Arabidopsis thaliana: one gene and its partners. The protein of the gene in region 2 interacts with the protein of the main gene of each other region in a pairwise test. Each region holds a gene or a part of one and is shown on either strand. Other genes may lie near its edges.

What was found. The genes of interacting proteins can lie anywhere in the genome.
Region 1: the proteins of TOPP6 (region 2) and AT4G28230 interact in a two-hybrid assay, tested with the Arabidopsis thaliana proteins (one large-scale study listed by BioGRID).
Region 3: the proteins of TOPP6 (region 2) and AT1G11440 interact in a two-hybrid assay, tested with the Arabidopsis thaliana proteins (one large-scale study listed by BioGRID).

What each region holds. Positions count from the first base shown.
Region 1 is NC_003075.7:13,994,320-13,999,566, reverse strand, and holds AT4G28230 (uncharacterized protein), read left to right. Parts: upstream 1-2,259; 5' UTR 2,260-2,368; coding exon 2,369-3,577; 3' UTR 3,578-3,788; downstream 3,789-5,247. Other genes in the region: AT4G28240 (Wound-responsive family protein), read left to right, coding at 1,328-1,588; NDB1 (NAD(P)H dehydrogenase B1), read right to left, coding at 3,916-4,003, 4,078-4,197, 4,282-4,403, 4,488-4,751, 4,844-5,168.
Region 2 is NC_003076.8:17,418,952-17,424,943, reverse strand, and holds TOPP6 (type one serine/threonine protein phosphatase 6), read left to right. Parts: upstream 1-2,961; 5' UTR 2,962-3,117; coding exon 3,118-3,292; intron 3,293-3,374; coding exon 3,375-3,934; intron 3,935-4,012; coding exon 4,013-4,234; coding exon of another isoform or gene 4,235-4,261; exon of another isoform or gene 4,262-4,608; coding exon 4,609-4,647; 3' UTR 4,648-4,999; coding exon of another isoform or gene 5,000-5,014; 3' UTR 5,015-5,154; downstream 5,155-5,992. Other genes in the region: AT5G43390 (plant/protein), read left to right, coding at 73-2,004. UniProt on the Arabidopsis thaliana protein: Serine/threonine-protein phosphatase that possesses phosphatase activity toward para-nitrophenyl phosphate (pNPP) in vitro.
Region 3 is NC_003070.9:3,847,033-3,852,194, forward strand, and holds AT1G11440 (uncharacterized protein), read left to right. Parts: upstream 1-2,168; 5' UTR 2,169-2,385; coding exon 2,386-3,477; 3' UTR 3,478-3,703; downstream 3,704-5,162. Other genes in the region: MORF9 (plastid developmental protein DAG), read left to right, coding at 241-602, 1,379-1,476, 1,574-1,639, 1,734-1,906.

The DNA of each region.
Region 1 (5,247 bases), on a different chromosome or scaffold from region 2:
TAAAGCTGCAAGAGACACCAAATCCACTCAAGTCTAGTCATACAGAGAATCACCTGGAAAAAAAAGCAAGTGAAGTCAAAGGAATGTGATTCCGCGTAGCTATGATCTGATCAACATGCATTTTCTTTTCTCAAGGTGCAATGGCGTTTTAACTTGACCATCAAACATTGAGATATACAGTCTATACAAGTTAATAGTCATGGTTATTATAGTATTATCTGACGGATTCAAATTTGACATATAAGAATCGGGGAAAAGAAAATGTAGAACTGGTTATAGCCAAATGCAAGAAGATATGTGATGCAATAAGATAGTTTGACATGAGCATAAATGTGATAGACATATGCTTAGATTAGTAGAAGAAGCAGACAGGGCTTATCTAGTATAAGTGGGATAAGCATAATATGTGAACGGCCCACATCCTCACAAAGCCAAGTCCAACTATCACAAGATTCACTCATTCCACTAATAAACGTTTTCAAATTAGAATGACAGAAGAATATGATAGTTAAAACTACTCATTAATATATTGGTGATAAAATAAAATAAAATAAAATAAAATTAAACTACTCACATATAATTGGTTGGATTAGTCATTAAAGATAGCACTTAGCAAATCAAAGTAAAAACAAATACTCACTACTAATAATAAATTAACCGGAAGCAAAGGGACAAGAAGTATTGATGGACAGTAATATCACGTGAAGGGGCACGTGATGACCCAATAATCGGTTAACACGTAACCAATCCCCTCGTGGGACTCTATCCTAGTCTCTAGGCACCACCCCACCCCTCACATAAAACCATCGTTCCATTTTGGTTTTAGGCCGACCTATCGGTTTTTCATTTTCGTATAAAACAAAACAAAACAAAACAAATTTACATTCAACAAAAAAAAAAAAAAAAAAAAACCAAATTACAAAAATAATTAAGAATGGGGCCCACATGAAGGGGTCGATAATTGAAGCAAGGGTGACTCATCTTGAGGATAGGACCCTCTAAGCTCGCCACTTGTTTCCTCATTACTCAGCACTTTCAATTTCCCCCGAGATATTTCACGATAACTTAACCATATCGTACCGTATCGCTTTCCTATACCTGGATCCCACTAATCCATTGTGCACGGTATCGCTTATTTTAGATCTTTTTGAATTTACCTATTTACCCTCACCCCAATATCCCTCTGGCTATAAGTACCAACCTCATCTCTTCATTTCCTTCCTACAAAAATCGAACTAATCTTCCTTTTTAACAAAAGCTTCTCAAATCTTTCAAAGGTTTCCAATTTACGAAGAAAGGATCTACAACATATAATCACTATTAAAGAATGAGTTATCTGAACAAAGTGTGGATGGCAGCATCGTTCGTAGCTGTTCAAGGAAACGCCGATCACGGCGTCAAGTTAAAAAGCGGTCTCACCTCTGCTCACCGTCTCCAACGAAGACTTTCCTCCGATCTCCGTCCTCTCGCCGCCGCAGATCTAACCGGCGACTCTCTCCCTTCGGAAGAAAGACGTCGTACCTCTTCTTCCACTCCCGATGAGTCTCTCCGACAAGTCATGTACCTCAACTGCTGGGCTCAAGGCTAAATTCAGATAATGATGGTCGTGGCTCGCTCATGAACTCCGCTGAATCAGAATTTTTTTCTGATGCAAACTGTATATAGTTTGGTTCATCTGTGGTGGTTGACTCGTGCTTATGAAATCGCTTGAGTCGGATTTTCTGGATGCAACTGTATAGTTTGGTTACATCTCTGTGAATATTAGAATGTTCTAAAAGATCAAAGCAAGCCTTGGATTATGAGAGAACTCTGTTCATTTTCTATATCTTAAAACATCGTTCGCTCACCAACTTTATTACAATCTGGAATCTTGATTGCGATTACCACTAATTTCAACTTTATCCACAGTAAAATACGATTCTAAATTAAACAATAGTACTAAAATATTCCAAAACCATCGTTATCCAAAGAGACAGACAAGTCAGTCACTCCATAATGCTTTTATTTATTTATCTATTGTGGTTGTCATTATTGAGGTAGGTCCTATAATTCATCTTACGAGCAAACTGAAATGTTATATTCGTCGGGCCAATTGTGCGAGGAACAAGAGGCCCACAACGAGATCAGCTCTTGGGCTATTTGGCCCATTTATGTAACTTGGCTTTGAATGAAATCGGAGCGTGGCTGCTTAATCCAACGGTCCAAATCTGACGACGCTCCTTAATGGAGTAATGAGTAACGTCTCCTTCATTTCCAACGGTCAAATAATCCTCAAGAAATACTCGCTTCTTCCTTCTTCCTCCTCAAGTGTCCAATTCTTTCTCCAAACCCTAAATTTCTCGTAGAAGAAGATCAAATCGCTCTGAATATGACATCAATTGAGGCAACAGAAACGCTTAACGCTCCTCCAAAGCTTCAGATCTGGAACAACGCTGCCTTCGACGATGGAGATTCTCAAATCACTTCCGCCATCGAAGCTTCTTCTTGGTCTCACCTCAACGAATCATTCGATTCCGATTGTAGCAAGGAGAATCAGTTTCCGATTTCGGTTTCCTCTTCGCTCCAATCCTCAGTCTCGATCACCGAAGCTCCGTCAGCAAAATCCAAGACCGTGAAGACCAAATCCGCCGCAGATCGGAGTAAAAAGCGAGATATCGATGCAGAGATCGAAGAAGTAGAGAAGGAGATCGGACGATTATCGACGAAATTGGAGTCGCTCCGATTAGAGAAGGCGGAGCAAACCGCAAGAAGCATTGCTATACGTGGAAGAATCGTTCCGGCGAAGTTCATGGAATCATCTCAGAAACAAGTGAAATTCGACGATTCGTGTTTTACAGGATCGAAATCAAGAGCCACTCGTAGAGGCGTTAGTCTTGGACCAGCGGAGATATTCAATTCCGCGAAGAAATCTGAAACTGTGACTCCTCTTCAATCAGCTCAGAATCGACGCAAGTCTTGTTTCTTTAAGCTTCCTGGAATCGAAGAAGGTCAAGTGACGACACGAGGTAAAGGAAGAACGAGTTTGAGTCTGAGTCCGAGATCTCGCAAAGCGAAAATGACGGCAGCTCAGAAGCAAGCAGCTACGACGGTGGGGTCAAAGAGAGCTGTGAAGAAAGAAGAAGGAGTTCTCTTAACAATCCAGCCTAAGAGGCTATTCAAAGAAGATGAAAAGAATGTTTCTTTAAGGAAACCATTGAAACCAGGAAGAGTTGTGGCTAGTAGGTACAGTCAAATGGGTAAAACGCAGACTGGAGAGAAAGATGTTAGGAAAAGGTCGTTGCCTGAGGATGAAGAGAAAGAGAATCATAAGAGGTCGGAGAAGAGAAGAGCTTCTGATGAAAGTAACAAGAGTGAAGGGAGAGTGAAGAAGAGATGGGAGATTCCAAGTGAAGTTGATCTGTATAGCAGTGGTGAGAACGGTGACGAGTCTCCTATAGTTAAGGAGCTACCTAAGATCAGAACGCTTCGTCGTGTGGGAGGGAGCCCTCGTGATTCAGGTGCTGCTAAGAGAGTTGCAGAATTACAAGCCAAGGATCGTAACTTCACTTTTTGCCAGCTTCTGAAGTTTGAAGAATGAATGATCCGCTTATCAATTTGAGTAAAATCCACAACTCTTGTTGTGGTTACTTGATTGTGAATTTGTTTGGTTTTGATTTTGTTTTTCGGCTCGCAGAGCAAGAATCTTTGTTGGAATGCTTAATGTCTTTTCTAAATACACATTAAGATTGTGAGTTTTTGTTATCTTTTGTAAATGTCAGCTTCATGAAGAAAGATTCTTTCAAAAGGTTTTTGCTTTGCCACTCACAAACAAGAAGTTTGGCCACAGCTTTGTGAAATTTACACCAAAAACAAACGAAAAAGAGAGAGACTGTATCTTGGTTTCCTCTTAAACACATTACAAAATGCAGTATTGAGTCAGATGCGGCTTGAATCCCTCCCGAATATGTACCTCCTTGTCCAGTCCGACACCACCAGAGCCCTCGTTCGCCAGCTAACTTGCTTGCTGCATCATTCATGTTTCATGTTTCAAATTCTGTGCATTTACTATAATGAATAAAAGAGTTTCTCAGCGTTTACCTGGCATAAACAGAATACCAGAGCCACTGGGCGCTTTTTCCAGCTGAAACCCAGTCTCCAGGTAGTTCAGCTGCTGCTTGGTCCCCTCCTAGTGGAGCAAATTGTCCAAAGTGCTTGTACCTGTAATCAAGCGAAGAGCTTTCATCTCTATATCTTGGAAGTTTATGAGGATGCAAGGTCCTGAGTTCATTAGATTAGGCATACTGGAAGGGGCGAAACTGATGATGCCCGCCAGTTCTGAAGCGCTTAGGACCTTCAGGTAGCTCTTTACACTGCTCCATCCTGTTGAAGCATTTTGCAAGATAAGCACCTTGCTGGGCAGCGACCTATGCAAACAAACAAGCAGACCATTGACCCTGACATCCTAGATAAAACCCACGATTCTACGCATAGGTGAATTCACCAAGTACCTGAGCAGTTGCAGGCAGGGTTTTCATCTGTGAATCAGCCTCCGAGAGAGCCAATTTGAATGCCTCAATGTCTACTTCTTTCCTTGCATTTCCTTCAGAATCTGCCAGCAGATCGTTAATATGCCTCATATGCTTGCTTTTCAGGTAGAGCTCCACCTGCGGATACCTCACAATAATATCATCAACCACGCCTTCTAACTCTTCCATGGTCAAGGTTCCTGAGTTGTCCGCATCTGCAGCTTTGAATATGTTTGCAATATCCCCCTAAATTAAGATTCACAAGAATCTATCAAGATTTAGCATGCATATGAAAAAAAGAAGGGAATAGCATCAACAGTCTAATGGGGTTCACAGACCAAGATTTTTCGTTGAGCTATGGAAGCACAATCGCCAACTGCATATACATTCTCACATCCTGTCACTTGTAACCACTCGTTAGTTGCCACCGCACGTCTGCCTCCTTGGCCAACTTGCTCCATGAAGTCGCTGATAACTGGACGGGTTCCAACTCCAGTGGACCACAATATCAATCCATGAGGAATACTTACGAGTTCTCCACTTGATTTGACTTTCACTGTGATATCTTTATCAGTCACAGACATTACACGCATTCCAGTCTGAACATCAATACCATCTCGCGTGAACTTTTGTTCAGCAAATGAACTGATACGTTCATCAAACCTGCAACAACCAGTCAACCACTTGTCAAACTCCACAATCAAGCCTGGCATGAAGAAATGATGAAGAAGTCTATAGTACT
Region 2 (5,992 bases):
CTTTTACACAAACCCTAGCTTCAAAGTCAAAAACCCTTGAGACAATCACCATCACCAAATCTCTCTCTTTCAATGGCTTCTTCTTCCACTGCGATCCTTCTCGGACCACCTTCCGTCGCCGCCATGGAGACACCAGTTTCCGATGACAACAGTGTAATCTCCCAAATTGCCACACTAAACCTAGAAGAACCACAGATGGGTCTGACGGAAAACTTCTCGCCCACGTTTCTAACCTCCGGGAACCCATGTCTCGATTTCTTCTTCCATATCGTCCCAGACACACCTTCCGATGATCTGATCCAAAGGCTGGCCATTTCTTGGTCTCACGATCCTTTGACTACGTTGAAGCTCCTCTGCAATCTCAGAGGTGTTAGAGGAACTGGAAAATCAGACAAGGAAGGGTTTTACACAGCTGCCTTGTGGCTTTACAAGAACCACCCAAAAACTCTAGCTTTGAATATCCCTACTCTTGTCGATTTTGGGTATTTCAAAGATTTACCTGAGATTCTGCTTCGGATCTTGGAAGGTCAGCAGACGGAGAGAGGTAAGACTCGGGTTTGGAGGAAGAGGATTCAGAGGAAGTTCAAAGGGGATAGTGAGAAAAAGTCTACCATATCCGGTGACATGGAAGATCGGATTCTCGAAACCGCGGAGGAGACTGGTGGTCCTGTTGGTAAAGTCAAGGCTAGGGCTTTACGGAAACAGAGAGAGTTCGAAAAGGCGAAAAAGGCTCTAGATAGGTATAACTCTGATGCTAATTACAGATTACTCTTTGATCAAATTGCCGATTTGTTTGCGGAATTATTGAAATCAGATTTGGAGTATTTGAATACAGATAATTTGAACAAGATTAGTTTAGCTTCGAAATGGTGTCCTTCTGTTGATTCTTCGTATGATAAGACTACTTTGATATGTGAGGCTATTGCTAGAAGAATGTTCCTTAGAGAGGAATACGAAGAAGGTATCGAAGAAGTGCATTATGCATATAGGATTAGAGATAGGTTGAGAAAAGAAGTTCTTGTCCCGTTACATAAAGCTCTTGAGTTGCCAGAGGTGTCTATGAGTGCCAAGGAATGGAATCTGTTGAAGTACAATAGAGTTCCTTCTATAGCCATGCAGAATTATAGTTCACGCTTTGCGGAACACGATAGCGAGAGGTTCACCGAGTTTTTGGAGGATGTGAAATCCGGGAAGAAGAAGATGGCGGCTGGTGCGTTGCTTCCTCATCAGATTATCAGTCAGCTTTTGAATGATAGTGAAGGTGAAGAAGTAGCAGAGCTTCAATGGGCGAGAATGGTTGATGATCTTGCCAAGAAAGGGAAGTTGAAGAACTCATTGGCGATTTGTGATGTCTCGGGAAGCATGGCTGGTACACCTATGAATGTTTGTATTGCGTTAGGGTTATTGGTTTCGGAACTTAATGAAGAGCCGTGGAAAGGGAAAGTTATCACTTTTAGCGAAAACCCGCAGCTTCATGTTGTCACGGGTTCGAGTCTGAGAGAGAAGACTAAGTTTGTTAGAGAAATGGATTTTGGAATCAACACAGATTTCCAGAAGGTGTTTGATCGGATTCTAGAGGTTGCTGTCGAGAATAACTTAACCGATGAACAGATGATCAAGCGGTTGTTTGTGTTCAGTGACATGGAGTTTGATGATGCAAGAGTAGACAGCCATTCGGAAATGAGTGACTACGCGAGTAACTTGGAGAGTGACTACGAGAGTGTCCCGGAGAGTTTTGAGAAATGGGAGACGGATTATGAAGTTGTTCAGAGGAAGTATAAAGAGAAGGGTTTTCAGAATGTTCCTGAAATTGTATTTTGGAACTTAAGAGACTCGTCAGCTACACCCGTGGTGTCTAAGCAGAAAGGTGTAGCTATGGTTAGCGGGTTTTCGAAGAATCTACTGACTCTGTTTCTTGAGGAAGGTGGGATTGTGAATCCTGAAGATGTCATGTTGTTAGCCATTAAAGGTGAGGAGTATCAGAAGCTTGCTGTTTATGACTGAGAAGTTTTATTCATTTAAATATTGGATTTTGTGAGTACATGAATGAATCTTGTTTAAGTTTTTTTTTTTTTTCTAAGTACCTATGTCTAATAAGATACAGCTAAGAAAATGAAATGATCTATAGAAGTCATAAGATGAGGCATCACTCTTCGTTTCCTCCTAAACTTGGAATCTTTCCTTTATATCTTTTGGTTCTAATAGAAGAAAAAAGGCAAAAGCCAAACTAATATTCTCCGAGCTCTCTCTTTCCTTGTTATTCCTGAGGTGTCCTCTCACATCCGGTAGTTTCATAACGAATATGTTCTTTGTCATTGCCAAGTTGCTTAAGATGATGCGAACAAATCAACGAACAAGGTTTTGTGAATTACTCTGAATCCAAAAACATTGATACTGTGATGGAGAAAGAACGTTTTTTGTGCTCTACTTACACGCAAAAGTATCTTGAATTCGATTAGATTCAAGCCTAAAAAGCTCAACACAAAGAAAGTGTCTAAACTAGCTAATATGTTTTGACCATAAAAGAGAAAATATAGCTAACATTTTTGGTTATTAGATGTAGTTGAAGTTAGAACAATTAGGGTAGGTTTTTACCCATGGCTTTTGGCTACAAAGGAAGAAGAATATGTTTTTTGTAAATAGCCAAGTTGCTTAATATGACGCGGACGAATCCAAAAACATCGATACTAGAAGAAGAAGAAAGAGCGTTTTTCGCACTCAAAGTACCGGCGGAAAGATCTTAAATTTGAATCATGACGTACCGGACAGGATTCAATCCTGTGAAGCTTAACACACACACAAACAATGTGTTACTAAATTAGCTAGAATCTGATTATTATATGATTTAGTTGAAGTTAGAACAATGTAGGTAGGTATGAACACATGTGACTTTTGCTAAAAAGGTATGAAGAATATATTCTTAAACGCGGCTTTATAAAGCCCTTCTTGAATTTGACAATCACCATTCTTTTTCTCAAAGAGCAAGCATAAAAGAACATAAAAGCTCCATACTTTTTAAATTTATTCCATATTGTCAATAGCTTTTGTATATTATAAAGCTTCTAGGCGTTGTTGTTGTTTTGTCTCATTGTTGCTCTGTTTCTTGAGGTTTTATAAATGGATCCTGGTACTTTAAACTCGGTGATCAATAGGTTGCTTGAAGCTAGAGAAAAACCAGGAAAGATTGTTCAGTTGTCTGAAACAGAGATCAAACAGCTCTGTTTCGTCTCTAGAGATATCTTCTTGAGACAACCAAATCTCTTGGAACTTGAAGCTCCTGTTAAAATATGTGGTACGTTTCTCTCTGTTTCTCTCTGACTCTTTTCTGAGATTGTGCTCCTATGTAATCTTTTGGTTAAACAAATAATAAACAGGGGACATTCATGGACAATATCCGGATCTCTTGAGACTATTCGAACATGGCGGATACCCTCCTAATTCAAACTACTTGTTTCTTGGAGATTATGTCGATCGCGGCAAGCAAAGCCTCGAAACGATTTGTCTTTTACTTGCTTACAAGATTAAGTTCCCTGAAAACTTCTTCCTTCTCAGAGGAAACCATGAAAGTGCATCAATCAATCGTATTTACGGCTTCTATGACGAGTGTAAACGTAGATTCAGTGTCAAGATTTGGCGAATCTTCACTGATTGCTTCAACTGTCTCCCCGTCGCTGCACTCATCGATGAGCGGATTTTTTGTATGCATGGTGGGCTCTCCCCGGAGCTGCTAAGCTTGAGGCAGATTAGGGATATTCGTCGTCCAACGGATATTCCTGATCGTGGTTTACTCTGTGATCTCTTGTGGTCTGATCCTGATAAAGATGTTAGAGGTTGGGGGCCTAACGATCGCGGAGTTTCTTACACTTTTGGATCAGATATAGTTTCTGGATTTCTTAAAAGACTCGATCTTGACCTCATTTGTAGGGCTCACCAGGTTTGTTTATTGTTCCTTGTGCCCAAAGAAACATTTTTAACGTGTTTCCTTTTGACACAAGCAACGATTTTGTAACAGGTTGTTGAAGATGGATTCGAGTTCTTTGCGAATAAGCAGCTCGTAACGATATTCTCTGCGCCGAATTACTGTGGGGAATTTGACAATGCAGGTGCGATGATGAGTGTGTCTGAGGATTTGACCTGCTCTTTTCAGATCTTAAAATCTAATGACAAGAAATCAAAGTTCAGTTTCGGAAGCAGAGGTGGTGCTAAAACTAGCTTCCCTTATCCTAAAGTGAAGGTATGTATTAATCACATCACTTTTTAATTTGTGGATATACTGTAGCACAAAAAATGAAATATGGTAAATGCATAATAATTTGCTCTATTACTAAATGTTTTTGAATGATTTAACATTTTGAATCTGTTTGTGCTCCTCAATAATTTTAAATCTATTCGCATTGATAGATGAAACTTTGGATTAGTATTGACTTCACCGAATTAGACCTAATGTTAGTCAAAACTAACACTGTGGTATACTTGAAAATTGGTTTGCTATGTTTCTCACTAGTAACTTACAAGTAATTTATAGCCAAATCATTGTTGTCATGTCATGTTACAAGGCAAGCTCGGAATCTCTAACCATTTGATCTAATTAAACATGTTTATTTGCAGTCGATTCTGAGTTCGCAAAATTCGAAAGAATACAACTGATGAAGATTTAAAACTCCGCATAATAACTATTAGAAACCATGCCAACGTAACTCGACTACTATATGATGAGAAATTAAAGAGGATTTTGAATTTCGGAATTTTGGGAAGCTTCTGTTTTTGTTATGTTTTGTGTTGTCTGCTGCTATCACTTGTGTGTATGTGTTTTTATTTTTGGTTGTTGTTGTTGTAAATTTGGTTTGTAGTTGTTGGTGGTTAAATTTGATAATAAAACATGATTTCCTTCGGACCAAAGATATGTTTTTTTCTTTCCGGTTTGCATCTTCTTAAGTTGAAGGCACTTTTTGGCTAGCTAACTCTTGTGTCGATTGTGTGGCCAACAAGGCTTCTGCAGGATTGTAATTGGTAGAATGGATCCGGATATCCTAGAATTTGAAAAGTATTCAGAACTGTGCTTTAACAATCCAGATCCGTGACTTTTGGATATCTGGTTTCTAATATTGCAGATACCTAGAAAACTAATACTTATATATCTTGTTTTAATACATAATCATAATTGAATCAATTTAACTTGACATATCATTATAATATTGCTAGTGTTAACAAAATATTAAAATGATGACTTACCCATGTTGTACCACCGAGTTAATGATATTTAAATTTATATTAATGAAGATTCAAACTCGTCAAACCATATAACCCATACCGTGATATTTTAAACTTTTTATAAGTTAAACGTTGATAATATTTTGAAGTTTTTATACACTTTAAATAGATCAATTATAATATTTTAATTTTTTAAAAAGTTTAGAATTTATGATATCTGGTATAATTAAACGGTTTGACTAAAGAACCGAATTAAACTGAACAAATATTTAAATTTGGATGTTTGTTAAGTTAGGATTCCTACTCACTCATATTTCTTTGGGTTCAATTTGGTCTTATTTATGAGATTTTGGACACAAAGTTTTAGCTGATGTGAGACTTTGAACACAAATAATTTTATTTCATTATGTGAGTAATATATGGCTGTTTTCAAACATCCGAATCACAATATATCCAGAAAAAATTAGATTTTAATTAGTGTTATGTATTATATGATGATTCAAAGTAGTTTAAAAAATAAAAAAAATGATAGAAAAATCATAATTTTAAATGTTAACAAAATATTTAAAATATGTATATTATTAAATGTGAAACATTATATGGATGTTTTTAATTTATCTTTAATGTGAAAATATTATAATTGTGTTTTGGTTATATGAATACTAGAGAATTAATTGTAACACTATAGACCCATCGCTTTCCAACCCCCTCTTGCATAAGGGACATGGTCAAATCTTGATATTAATTTGTGACTCAATTTATGAATTAATGGTCATGGTAA
Region 3 (5,162 bases), on a different chromosome or scaffold from region 2:
TGTCGATATTCACGATACACATCGGGGAAAGTGTGTTTTCTTTTTTTCTTTCCCAATTTACTTTTCTTTTTTTTTGGCGCTTGAAATTATGAGAAAATGATTTAAGAAATTATCAGGCCCAAACTATCTAATGGGCCTAATTAAAAACGGTGTCGTTTCATAGGATCCTCATCACGAAGCAGGTAAGTAAAAATATATCTTATCTTCTCCAAAACTCTCTCTTCGATTTCAGCAATTGCAATGGCTTCCTTCACAACAACTTCTTCTTCCTCGCTTCTCCTCAAAACTCTTCTCCCCGTAAGCCACCTGAATCGTTTCTCTACACTCTCTGGTATCCGCGTTGGCGATTCATGGACTCCTCTGCTCCGGAACATCTCCACCGCTGGGTCTCGGCGTCGAGTGGCGATTGTGAAAGCTGCGACGGTGGATTCGGATTACTCGTCGAAACGGAGCAATAGCAATGAGCAGAGAGAGACGATTATGCTTCCTGGTTGCGATTACAATCATTGGCTCATTGTAATGGAGTTTCCTAAAGATCCAGCGCCAAGTAGGGATCAGATGATTGATACTTACCTTAACACTCTTGCTACTGTTCTTGGCAGGTTCGTTTTCGCTTTCTTATTGATTCTCTTCGTTGTTGAATTAGTTAACTAATAGACGACATTTACTTGTGTTGCTAATGGACTTGTCCTTTGATTGAATCCAATGTTGCGTATAGGAAGATTTGGTTTTTTGTTAGATTAGGGTTTTTGATGATACTTTAGGGTAAGGGTTTAGTGAGCTGAGTAAAGCTTTCAGCTTTAAATTTGCTCTGAAGTTGACCTAGTTCCAGAATTTGTTCTTAATATCAGGTGTAATCTTTAGCTGACTTGTTTTTCGTCTCTTGATATGTGCAAACTTATTGAACATTGCTGCATATTGAACACAAAACATTGGTGTCTGATTTGATATCTAAAACTTTGTGCTCTTTAGCGTAATTATGAATGAAATTAGGGGGAAGAATAGAAGCATCTATTTTTGCATATTTTCTTCAAGCTATGTATAAATTGTAGGTGATTGTGCATGGTTTCTGTTTGTTAAAAACTTGATGTGGACAGTGTAAGCTAGTAATGTATGTAAAAGGAGTGTACAATTGTGCAGAGCATTAGATTGGGACTCCTGACTAGAAATTTCTTGGTATGGCAGGGAACGAGTTTGTGTTACACAACTAATGACTAAAACTTTAGTTTATTTGGTGCTACTCTCTATTTTAGAGAACTTTGATTCCGGTTTACACTATCCTGCTGATGTGATAACCAATTAATGTACTTGTGTCCATTTTCCAGCATAACCAGTTCATCGTGTTTGCTTATTATATGTACTTGTGTCTATTTTCCAGCATGGAAGAGGCGAAGAAGAACATGTATGCATTCAGTACCACGACATATACTGGATTCCAATGCACCATCGACGAAGAAACATCTGAGAAGTTCAAGGGTTAGTTAGTGAGCAAGAAGAGCCTTAGTCCCCTTATTGAAAGTTCGTCGAAAACCTTCAAGATACTGATCGTTCTGTCTTTTCATTATTTTCACAGGTTTGCCTGGAGTTCTCTGGGTCTTGCCTGACTCCTACATAGATGTCAAGAACAAAGACTATGGAGGTAACCCATCAAAGCCTGATTTTAAACTTTCTAGGATCTCTCTCTCTCCCAGTATCCATGTTCTGATAATTGAATCGTTCTTTCTCGGGTTTAGGCGACAAGTACATCAATGGAGAGATTATCCCGTGCACATACCCAACATACCAACCAAAGCAGCGCAATAACACTAAGTATCAAAGTAAGAGATACGAAAGAAAAAGAGACGGTCCTCCACCTCCTGAACAGAGGAAACCAAGACAAGAACCAGCAGCCTCTGATTCCTCTTAAACTATAATAAGATAATGGAGTGTTTGCAAGTTTTGATCTTTTGGTTAGCACTTAGCTTGTTGAAGTCGTGTGTAAAATCGTCTAGTACCAAATGATGATACTGTATCATCACACCTTGAACAATAGCTATTGTTATGTTAGGATGAAATTCAACTTGAACCATTTGTTTATTTAGGTAATGTTCGGTTTTGGTTTGGTTTGATTCTTTGTCAACCACTGCTTTTTCCCCACGTTTTCTCAACACCAATTTCAGACAAGACAAAACAATTGTAGGGTCACACACTCGTCACCAACTCACCATCTACATCAGTCGTCCCTACCTTATCAACACATCACATGGAAATAATACACTACTCTCTCACGGACTTGGAACCAAACATTCCAAATTAGTTTAATCGACAGATCACTGCTCAGCTGAATCGTTTTCTCTCATCAACCGCAGAGAAAGACTTTCAAGATCATCCTTCAAGCTCTCTCAAATGGCCAACTTCTATGAGAATTACCAGAGTCCTTACGATTACAATCAGGTTAATAATCTCTACGATCAAAATCATTATCATTACAATCAACAGCAGCAGCAGCTTGGTTTCGAACCAATGAGTTATAATTATTACAACTGGAATGAATCTGAATCTGAATCTGAATATGTTGCTTACTCTGGTTATGATGATCCAATGAGTTATAATTGTTATAACTGGAATGGATCCGAGTCTGAGACAACCTCTGCATATGTTGCTTACTCTGTTTCTACCATGTCTGAGCCTAAACACTTGTTCTATGATCCGAATCTCTATACAACCTACGAATCTCCTCCTCAGTTTAGTATCTATTGCTCTGTAGCCTCTGCTCTTGACTTCAACGAGCCGGAATTCGATGAATACGATCCCACGCCGTACGGTGGTGGCTACGATGTTGTTGCAACCTATGGAAAACCTCTTCCTCCATCGGTGGAAACTTGTTACCCTTGTTCAACCGCTCCTCACGCTAAAGCTCCCTCTCCTCCTGAGATTATTGCTCCTGTTCCTCTTGGAATTTATGATGGTGGTCAAAAGAATGTTGTCAAGAAACGTGTGTCTTTTGCTGAACCGGTAGAAGAAGTCAAACCAATAGAAACCATTAAAGAGCAAGAACAAGAACAAGACGAAGATTATGATGAAGAAAGTGAGGACGAAGATGATGGTGATGATGATGATGAAGAAGAAGAAGAAGGGGATGAGGAAGCTAAAGAAGAAGAAAAAGATCACAGTTCAAGCTATGGAAATGAGGAATATGAAGTCGTAGATAAAGGAGAAGTGAAAGCTTTGTATGTTCCGTCTGGTTACGGATTAGAAGCGACCGATCTCTGTGAGGTTATATTTGGAGGTTACTTTCCTTGTGTGTTACGTAACAAAAGACGTCAGGAAGATGAACAAGATCGTGGGGCTGCTGTTTCTTGCTGGGAAAGCAACGATTCTGATCCGTGGAAGACAACTTCCGATCACCTTTTCGGGGATTCATATCCGTACGGTTACGAGAATCGGAGCGAAAGAAATCAGTTCGAGGTCTCCTCTTATGGTTACCGGATGTATTAACAACCCTAGTTATCATCAGTTGTGTCAATGTGAGGTAAGAACAACATTCTTTTGATTATTGATGAACCTGATTTTTTAGTATCTGTTACACAAGAGATGAGATTTACTGTTGTATAACGAGGAGGGGTTACTTAATAATAAAACGTCGCACGCAAAATCTATCTTCAACCTTTCTATTTGTAACATTCTCTTTAACACGTTTGTTTAAAATCTAAAATCTTTAAATACTACACTCGATGTGATAATTGATTACTGTATCCATCGTAATTATTATTGGTATATATACATTTCTTTGTGAAAAACACCAAATAAATGAAAGAATTGTATCATGGTATATCTAATATCTATCACTGTGAGTACAAGTGCAGAAGAAATTGTAGAAGTAGAAAAGTCAACGATAAAGATGAATTAGCTGAAGTTGAAGAACACTCTAATAAGTAATAACAAACAATGAACACCATGGGGGTTCTTGATTATCTTAAATGAAAATTAGTACCCGATTCAAAAGAATATCATTTTTTTGTGTTTTTGGAAACTCTTTTGAGACGTTAACATGTTGACTAATAAATTATGTGTAAATATACTTTTTTGCAGAAATTATTTTTGTGGATGTATAACTTGTTTACCTGAGCATGTAAGTATATGGAATTTTCAAAACTGTACTACGTATAGACAATATGCAAATACAGAAAACAAAACAAAATACCGTATTTACACGCGATATTAATAAGGTTCAATGACATGCTACTTCTTAACTAAAACAAAATTTAAAATGATTGATGAAAGCTTTACATGTGCGTCATGGAGGCTTAACTTTGTTTTGAGACGTCTACTTCTTTTTTTTTATTCTTATCCCTTTCCAATTTAGTTATATGTAGTATAATCAGATTAATTCACCATATATAAAACCCTTTTTCAAAAAAAAATAAAAAAAATTATAAAAGTATAATAATTATTGAGCTGTTGGTTATACTGTTTTAATTTCATCGAATACTTTCTCTGTTTTGTTTTAAATGATGATCCAGAGAATTTTGTTTATCTTATTTCAAGTGATGTTTTCAAAAGTTTAAATATATTTGATTGTAACCATTTATATAATAGAATATGTTTTTTACTAGTTGAATTAGTTTTATTTTAACAATTTATATATATAAAATAAACAAAATATTTTTTTTATTATTTCTTAATTTATGTGAAAAACTTTAGATATGATTTAATATGAAAAGATAGAATATATTATATACCAATCTTGTAAATTTATTCTAGAACTAAGTCAAAACCACTAACTTTTCTTTTGTGACAACTTTTTTATAAAAAAAATTTAACATCATTAGAACCACTAACTCAATTGTTATTATATTTGGTGAATTGATCTAATTAGTAGAAGGAATATATATGTCTGCACTACTGGAGAGAAAATGCCCCGTCCATTATGTTCTAAGCCTTTTCTAGATAACTTACTGAATCTAAAAATAGCATCTGCTTTTTGTCCCTACAAAGTTATATGGACAAACTAAAGGAATGAAAGAGTTCGATATACCCAAATGGGGATAATATAATTTTTTCATCAACTTTAAAAGTTCAAATATAGAGCTAATTATACGCATTTATAATTAACAAAAACGAGATAGTGCAAAACAAGATGGATCCAATGAAAAGACAAAAGAGAATAATTAATGGATCGA